Tribolium castaneum: one gene and its partner. The protein of the gene in region 1 interacts with the protein of each later gene in a biochemical or structural test. Links are inferred from orthologs where the notes say so. Each region holds a gene or a part of one and is shown in the gene's direction. Other genes may lie near its edges.

Region 1 (4,519 bases):
AATATCGGTGTAATACTAATAGTCAAATCATTTGGAGACCAAGGCAATTTTTTCAAATTTTTTTGTTACTGCACATTTTAAACCACTGCTATAGTACTGCTTTATGGATTATTCCTTTTTTTTATTATTCTTAGGTGTGCCGTTTTAAGGAATTTGCGAGTTCGAAAAAAATAATGAACCTGAACACGAAGCAAAAAAAATATTAAAAAAATAGATTCCACCTATAATTTGCTTGTACAGTGGGCCGCAAAAATATGGAATAATCTTATTAAACAGAATTTAAAATTTTTGTCTTGGTTTTCGAATAACGTCGCTATCGACACATTTTTTTTATGAAAACCTCTAATTTTCTTTGATCGTTTCAATAAATTACATGTTACATCTTATCTTACGTTTAAATACTACCAAAAAACAACACAATAAATTTGTTATTTCACCAAATGATCATGGAAATAGATTTCAAACAAAATCTTAATAACTTTTTTTGTTAAGAGTATTTTTATCAGTTCTTTCGTTTTTCTTTTAAATATATTAAGTAGACAACTAAATTTAGAAGACTTGCCGCTCACTGTATACATTGTACAAATATTTTATCTATTATATTTGAAGCTTATTCCTCTTTTCTGAAATATATTTGAAAAGAGTTCCGGTATTCTCAATATTCAAGCGTTTATCGTGGGCGATGTCAATCTCATATTTTTCAGGATTCGTTTCTATTGAAATCAATACGTTTTCAGTAAATAGTTATAAAAAATTGCTACATTTATGATTTTACTTGTCTAAAAGTAGAACTGAATAGCATTTCTAAATAATTTTAAATGCCATTTAAAGCATACAAAAAAATAGCAGCTGAAAATAAATTCTAGAAGTTCGGTTTTCAAGACGTCAGCCGAGTCTTATTTGAAAATAATGCCACAAATCAAATCTCTGTTTAATTTTTTACCAAATAGAAAAAACCCGAAGTCGATTGACATTGCAGTTTTGCTTTCAGGCGCTTTAAAACGTTTACACTTTAAGTAAATATTTTAAAAATTGTTGGTCTTAAAGTGGAACGCGGAACATTTTTCTCTTTGATGTAAGGAGTAAGCTATTTCTGGTGCTATTTCTAAAAGAGGTAACAAAAGGAAACAATTCGAATGAGTTTTCCCAGAAAGTCAGGTAAACCTGACAATAATAGAAGAAATTTTTGAAACAACAATAGGTAGCTTTTCTCAGCTCGAACTAAATTTACACGTGTTATGTGGGAGGAGGTAAAAAAAGTGTATTCGATGATCTTGTTCGAAATATTACAATGCAACAAGTGCACAATACTTTACGTAACCGTCCCATTAAACATTAATTCCAAAAAACGGTCCGCAAAAGCTGTGCATGAACCCAAAAGTGCGCTCATCCTCTGACTCATCATCGATTAAAGCCATGAACTTTCTCCCGAATCTCTGCAATAAATTTCAAGCAGCTGACTGTGACATTCGTCTACTTTTCAAGTTCAAAGTTGAACGCACGAAATTCAAATCCTGGCGCGCTACAGGTTATTGCCTCTGAGTGCGGCGCGTGCGCACTACGCAAAATCGCGTACTTTGTCATAAAAGCGTTCGCTGCGTTTCCCCAACGAGGATTCTAAGTGTTTGCCTCGTTCAATCTGTGAAGCGATGGAAGTCGAAAACGGAGCAAATGGGGAAGATTCCAGTCCTGTAAGTACAAAATCTCGCCTAGAATTTAATTCCGCGAATTTCGGCTCGTCCACATTTTCCCGCTTGTGTGAAATAAGGGCGCTTTCCTCGTGCTCTAACAGCGTTCGAGCGAAATTTTTCTAAGTCCCAAAATGGCGTCAGAGACTAAGTCCCACGTTTGTGGCATCAGGTCTAGAATTTTCTCGCGATAAACCGAGATTACGCATTTAAACGGCTTCTTTTCGCTGCTTTCGGTTCAATTGGGGCGAAATCGAGGGGGGCTCCATTTATAATTTGCACGTTTTTTGGTGCAGAGCCACAAGATGAAGGAGTATAACAGCGATACGGCCCAAGTGAACGGCATAAACGGCTACTCGGACAAGAAGAGCCACAAATCGGAGCATAAAGACAAGCACAGAGACAAGGACCGGGAGCGAGACAAGGAGAAAAGTAAAAGCAAAGAGCACAAGAGCTCGAAGGATAAAGACCGGCATAGCTCCAGTTCGAAGGACAAAGACCGAGATAAGGAACGCCACAGTTCACACAAGTCCTCAAGTCGGGACAAGGAGCGCAGCGACAAGGACAAACACCGCGACAAGGACAAGCACCGGGACGAGAAAAAGTCCTCGAAGGACAAGGAAAAGGAGCACAAAAGCTCGCACGATAAGGACCACAAGTCGAGCTCGAAAGACAAGGAGCGCAAGGATAAAGACAAGCACAGCTCCTCGAAGGATAAGGACAAGGACCGCCACAGCAGCTCCAAAGACAAGCACAGAGACAAGGACAAGCATCATTCCAGCTCCAAAGATAAAGACCGGAAGGACAAGAACAAGGAGCGGAAGAGCGAGAAAGAATCGGAGAAATCCTACGGTAATTTAACTTTTACCTCATTTGCTAAAAAATTATTTCCAGAGGGCGTAAAGCATAAAACACATCTGCAAAAATGGCCAAGGGTTTGTATCCAAATTTTCCTAACTAAAATTTTAACAAAAGTAGTGGCTATTGTCAGTTTTTGTAGGTGTTATTTTTTGCTCTAGGCCTAAACCTTGCACTCTTTAACTAAAAATGTTAAGTTTGAGCACAGTTTCATCGTATTGTTATTGTTTTATTGTGTCCATAGTTTCGAGTCAGTTTGATTTGACAAAATTTTTGTAAATACAAATTTTTAGAACGCTCGAATCATTATTTTCAACATGAGGTAAATAAAAACCTACTCGAGTTTTTAATCACTGTAATGGCTTGCAGGTATGTAGATAAGGCATGTTTGAAAAATGTAACCATCTTCGTAATTGTGGACGAAAATCAATGTTTTTTGACGCAAGCTGGTACGTAATTTTAATTGTCTTTAAGTCACTCACCGACAGGACTAATACGGTTTTTGAACGCTTATTTATGCATTATTTAAACAAAAACAATATTCGAAGCTGCTCATGCATTTTTTTGCTTTATATTATGCGAAATAACGAAGACATTGTATTGAATTTTAAAATTTTTGTAACATCCTTTAAGAAACGTGTTTTATCCAAGACATTGAAAAACCAAGCTCACGTCTCACTTTGAAATGCAAACTACGAATGTTCGAAAACAATTCTTATTTTTGCAATAACTAGATTTAGACCATATGTAGGTTGTTTGTTCATTTTGTTGAGGAATAAATACACGAAGACCCGAAACAACTTTCAGTAATTATTGAAATAATTGATTTAATTAATTTATTATGTCGTTTGTTATTCTAAAATGAGCGGTTTTAAGCACCTTGACATTTTTTATCAGTGTTTTAAAATATCAAATGATATATTTGTGATTGTCCCGCATCTCGTTGATGTTAATTAATCATATCTTGTTCATGTGTGATGGAGTCCTTAGTATATAAAAAAAAATCACTTAATCCATCATTAGATCATAATTGGCAACAGTTTATTATTTAGTCAAAATGTTTATTTAATTAACAAATTGTGAATTAAAGGTTTCTTTGCATTTGCTGTAGATATAAATATTATTCTCTGTAATTGGGTTAGCAATTACTCTTTGATATGCAACAATTTGTTAGATAGTTGTTAATTACCAGCAGATTAACTTTCGTATCTTGTTACGATTTGGAAGAAATAAATTAAAAGAATCGGTTCATTACATAATAAAAATTAAACAATTCGGAGTCCAATTTTCTAAAACTTGGCCAAAATCCAATTGGGACAAGTGACAATAATTTTAACTAACCGTAAAATCCAATTTTACACATTTTACGCGAATGGAATGTTGATTAAACAATTTTTTACTGTCAGACGATGAGAGAGAAAAGAAGAGTAAGAACCATTCAAAACATGAAAACGACGTGGGAAGAGAAGATTCCGCAAGAGAGGATTCGGTCGATGAAGATGATAACAAACTCATCATCAAAGAAGAGCCCGAGTCTCAAGATGAAGTCGACGACAAAAATGCTTCAGCTGCGAGCAGCTGTGATTACAATTTGTCTCAGTTTAAATCGGACGAGTCAAGATTTGAAGATAGCACTGCTGATGTGAAGCAGGAAGAAGACAGCGATGAAGATTTGCCTCTGGTAGGTGTTTCATTCAAGTTTATCGTCTTTACGTAAATAAAAATCATACGATTGCTAAGGACAATAATTTGTAATCTTTGTAGTCATTAATGTTCAATTGTATTTTCAGCGAAAACCATTCGCTCACAGACACAGATTGGTAGGTTTTTTGAAGTATTAATGTTTGTTTAGTGGTGTTAACAGTTTTAGTTTGATTTTTGACTAATATTTTGCATGGTGTTGGTATTTTTTTACTGATTTGATGCATTTTTAGTCCGCCAGAATGGAACATACGTCAGTTAAAAGAAAAATT
Region 2 (4,607 bases), on another chromosome or scaffold:
TCGTTGCCATGACAACGCCGACGACGCCGACTTGACTATAAGCGTATGTTCGGGCGTATCCAGTATCGGAGTATTGTATAGAGCTCAATTTCACCCAGTTTTCGTGTTCGCGTTGAACGTCTCTATTATGATATGACTATATTTTAATTTCTAGAAACTTCACTTTTAAAATAAATCCTATAAACAACACTGAGCCTTATTCTGTACGAAAAACTAGGAGCCGGTTTACAGAACATTTTAATTGCAATTACATTTTAATCACGATTAACTTGACATTTGTCAATGCATTTTACATTTAAATGGCAACTTAATTCGAATTAGTTTAATTCTAAATTAGATCTTAATTTCACTTTCTGTAAACCGGCTTTAAAACTGTTTTAATTGTTTTTAATTTAAGGAGCTTTAGTTGTTGGTACAACGATAATCAACAAAATTGCTAGGTTTGCTATTTTTTGAAATGTGTCAAATTTTAACAGTCCTTTAATAAAATTACAGAATAGGTCTTAGTGTGTGCAGTTTGGTAAAAACAGTTTATTTATGCGTTTGTTATGTAATTACTACTTAGTGTTGGTACAGTTTTTTGTTTTAATAAGTACTTCCACTAAAAATTTACGATATGATTCGGTAAATGATCTCTTTACCTATTCTTAGGGTTAAATTAAACGTTAGAACTATCATAACTTCACAAAAAAATGTAAAACTTTTAGCTCTTCATCTAGTTTTGAACGCCTCCACAAAACACAAATTGAACTTGCTCAAAACGATTTCGGGTTAAATTCAAATTCAAATTTTGATCAAACTAAAGTATTGCTGTTTCAGAACAATAAAAACGCCAACGTCGCATTTTCTCTCAAAATTAGCTGTTAGAGTTTATTCCAAAAATGAGTGAATTTTGGCATTAAACATACATAGGTAAACATTTACTATTGAAAAAAAAATGACCATAGGCGTCGTTATACAATGTCTGTCAAATCCACTGTTAGTATTTAAAAAATTGTGGTAATTAAGTACTGTGAAAAATAATAAACAAATTATTAATAATAATTAATAGTGATATTTCTACCTTTCTCCGTTCTCAAAATTTATTAATGTTAAAATGAGAACTAAGTAAACTTTACAGAAAAAAAATGCACGCCCATGTATTTTTATGTCACTGTCAGTTCGCCACCAGATATGGAACAACCTCTATAAATTATTCATGCACTTCAAAAAAATAATAACTAGTGTAATTTATACTTTCAATGAGAGATCTAATCATTAATAACTATTTTACAATTTTATCAATAGTATTTAAAAAAATAATTCGATAAAATGCGACGTTGGCGTTTTTATAGTTTTGAAACAGCTAATAGAGGCAAATGAAATTAATGTACAATTAAATTTTATTTTAACAGAGAAATTATTCCGGTGACCCTCAAACCCCGTACCAATACTTCGGAGTTGAATAAAATTCTTAAAAATAAAAATTCCCTGAGTGTGTTGGCAGTTATCTCATTTCTACACTCTTCTGTAAACACACTGTATTGTACTGCAACCCTCCATTCGAATTTGGCGCCACACCCCGTCCAGATGGCTCTGCCATCACAAACGCCCTCACGTCGCCATCTTTCCTTCTTGTTTATCGCCGATTTCGTCCACTTTCCAACACGAAACGATGTCCAACAGCCGCAACGACTGCCGAATCTACGTCGGGAATCTGCCCCCGGACATCCGCACCAAAGACATCCAAGACCTGTTTTACAAATTCGGCAAAGTTACATTCGTCGACTTGAAAAACCGACGGGGACCTCCTTTCGCCTTCGTCGAGTTCGAGGACCCCAGGTAAGCCCCCATGTGGCCTCGAAACCCTCTCAGTGTGCTGATTTAGGGACGCGGACGACGCCGTACATGCACGGGACGGTTACGACTACGACGGCTACCGCCTCCGGGTGGAATTCCCGAGGGGCGGCGGCCATGGCAGCTTCAGGGGTGGCCGCGGCGGCGGCGACAGGGGACGCAGCTCCAGGGGGCCACCAGCTCGCAGGTCGCAATTTAGAGTGCTTGTGACAGGTGGGTTTGTTAATTTGATTTGTGTTTTCGTTTTTTATCGCGAAAATCATTCGAAATATAATAGGAAATAAAGGTCGGAAAAGCGATTAAAAGGAAAGTCATTTAGTTTTTATTTACAGAATTTTTCGAAATTACACACAAGGGTATTTTAGCATGTGTGGCTGCCACCTACGATTTGATTTTTTAAATTGTGAGGTTGTGTTTTCATTGCATCGTTTCTTGAATCGTCAATAATTTATTATTATTATTACATTTTTGTTTTTTTTTTGTAAACTATAAGATTAGAGCGAAAATAAAAAAAGCATGAAAATACATTTAAAATTGTCTTATCTTTTCGTAAAAACATATGGGCTGTTCGTTTTTATTGTTACAACTTTTAAACAGGTGATAGCACACTCAATTTTAGGAGAAAAGTTTCCTACAAACATGTATCGAAGAATATTTCATAAGGGGTGTTCCTTTTAGTGTAATTTAATTTCCCCAATATTTCAGAAACCATGGCATATAAAAACACAAAATTTGGTACAGATAATAATCTCTGTACGTCTAATTGAATTCGAACACCAAATGTACATATTTGTAATCAGGGACGTCCCAAATTGGGGGGTGGAGGATAAAAAATACCCCAACTATTTTGGCTTTCGTTTTTTGACAATTTTAGAAACGAAGGCACATTTCTTATGGGAATTTAAGGACCACTCAGATTGAGTAATTTTTATAATATCAATCGATGCGTCTTAAAAAGCTGAACAAATCATATCATTGCGTCAAACGTGTAACTTAATTAGGAATGCCGGAAATTGCAATCGAATTGAAGATTTGTCCCATAATAAAAGCATTGGGGCGGCTTTTCGGTGAGAGCTTGTAATCCAGATTGGGGGTCAGGTATAGGGAACAGACACTTTTATGGAAATAGGGATTTAAGCTGACAAGTTATATCTCCAACAATGAAGTGTTATACTCGAAAATAAAAGTTTTTGGAAATTGTAGATTCTGAAAGTAGACACAAAATGATGTCTAGTAATATCGGTCTGAGTTTTTTTAAATCGGTACTTTTTTAGTAATAATAGAAAATTCGCGCTGTGACGTAAGCAATGTCTCGACTAATGATTCGTCAGTCTTTTGCTGCATACAATTAACGCTACGACCTACGTTTGGGTTGGTAAACGTTAAATATAAATGTCAAAACCGTGCGTTGTTGATTGTGACTGTTGTGTGCTAATATTTTGCAGGAGTTTGTGTTTTGGTAAAATGACTGCTCCTGCAGCACATCTGAAGTCGTATGTAAAACAACAGAGGCAGAAATTAAGAAAAAACGGACCACTAGAACCAAATTGAAATCTACGTCTTTTTGGCTTAGGCCGCATTTGTAAGAAAATGTCGACGTTTTGTCCGTTCTTCCTCGGGACAGGTTCTGGTCGCGAAACCTTCTGTTCATCCCTGATTTTCATGTTATTTATGGTCTGTAACATACTGTTTATTAAGAAACGGTTAGTTGTATAGAAATAACACAAGAGACCATTTTTATGGAAAAAACTATGGAATTTACTATTTTGTTATTAAATTGTCAGAAAACTAAAACCAAAATAGTTAGGCCTGATTGCTCAGTTCAAGCTGAAGCTTTCGCTTACATGAGGTCGGTTTATATTTAAACTAAGTTTAAACCGTAGTTGTGTTGTTGAGTGGAAAGTTTAGCTAAACCGCGCTGAACTTGTCACTTACGGGGTTGGTAGTTCTGAACGCTTGCGCACTTCAAGTATGAGGTTGCTTGACGAAATTTTAACAGTTCTGATTTTGAAAAGTTAAGTTAATATTTTGGTACATTGTAGGAATAATATTGTTATAATGATATTTATGCTTCCTTCTGAAAAAGAGCAATTTATCGTTTTCTGTCTTTTCTTTCAAAACACAGCAATAAACTGATTTGCACAGTTTATTTGTTGCTTTTGTGCATTTGAAGACTTGGGCGTCCTCACTTTTTAAAACTATGCTGTAATTAAAATCACATAATATTTACTTAGTATCAATAATTCTAACAACATTATTCCCCTGACTGTCGGATTTTGCTGCAGCAATTAAAAAAGTTACTGAAATAAGAATAAGTAAATTATTATCATTATACTTTTTTTTTAGTTTTTTTTTAAATATAATAATAATATATTAACTTACATGTTGTCTATTCATTACTGTCATTGTTCAAGTTTATTTGTTTAATTCAAACTGAACCGAAATTTATTTAAAAAAACTGTTTCTGTGCATCATTTTTGAATCCGGAAATTTAATAGTTCTTCATCATTATTGTTAAAAGCAATTTTTTTCCACATTTGTGAAAGTAAGTAGTATATGGGCTATATGGCGCTTCATGAGTCTGTTTTTTCTAACATTGTTGGTCTGCGTATTTTATGATTTTTTTAATTGTCATATATTTTTCGTAATTAGCAGCCTCTCTACGGGTGTCTTTTGTTGTATTAAATCTTCGAGCAATTTGGGCCCATGTTCCATTTTTTTCACCGAACGTAATCAAGTATCTTTTTTATAATTTTGAACAAAATTGACCA

What was found.
Region 2: the proteins of Top1 (region 1) and SF2 form a complex in vitro, tested with the Homo sapiens proteins (2 studies listed by BioGRID, with this or other methods). The link is inferred for Tribolium castaneum from reciprocal best matches to the Homo sapiens genes TOP1 and SRSF1.

The regions. Positions count from the first base shown.
Region 1 is NC_087398.1:8,304,700-8,309,218, forward strand, and holds the start of Top1 (DNA topoisomerase I, mitochondrial), read left to right. Parts: upstream 1-1,543; 5' UTR 1,544-1,649; coding exon 1,650-1,691; intron 1,692-1,984; coding exon 1,985-2,540; intron 2,541-2,715; exon of another isoform or gene 2,716-2,863; coding exon of another isoform or gene 2,864-2,868; intron 2,869-2,915; coding exon of another isoform or gene 2,916-2,995; intron 2,996-3,952; coding exon 3,953-4,227; intron 4,228-4,336; coding exon 4,337-4,366; intron 4,367-4,480; coding exon 4,481-4,519. UniProt on the Homo sapiens protein: Releases the supercoiling and torsional tension of DNA introduced during the DNA replication and transcription by transiently cleaving and rejoining one strand of the DNA duplex.
Region 2 is NC_087401.1:8,587,881-8,592,487, reverse strand, and holds the start of SF2 (serine/arginine-rich splicing factor 1A), read left to right. Parts: upstream 1-1,565; 5' UTR 1,566-1,654; coding exon 1,655-1,821; intron 1,822-1,867; coding exon 1,868-2,049; intron 2,050-4,607. UniProt on the Homo sapiens protein: Plays a role in preventing exon skipping, ensuring the accuracy of splicing and regulating alternative splicing.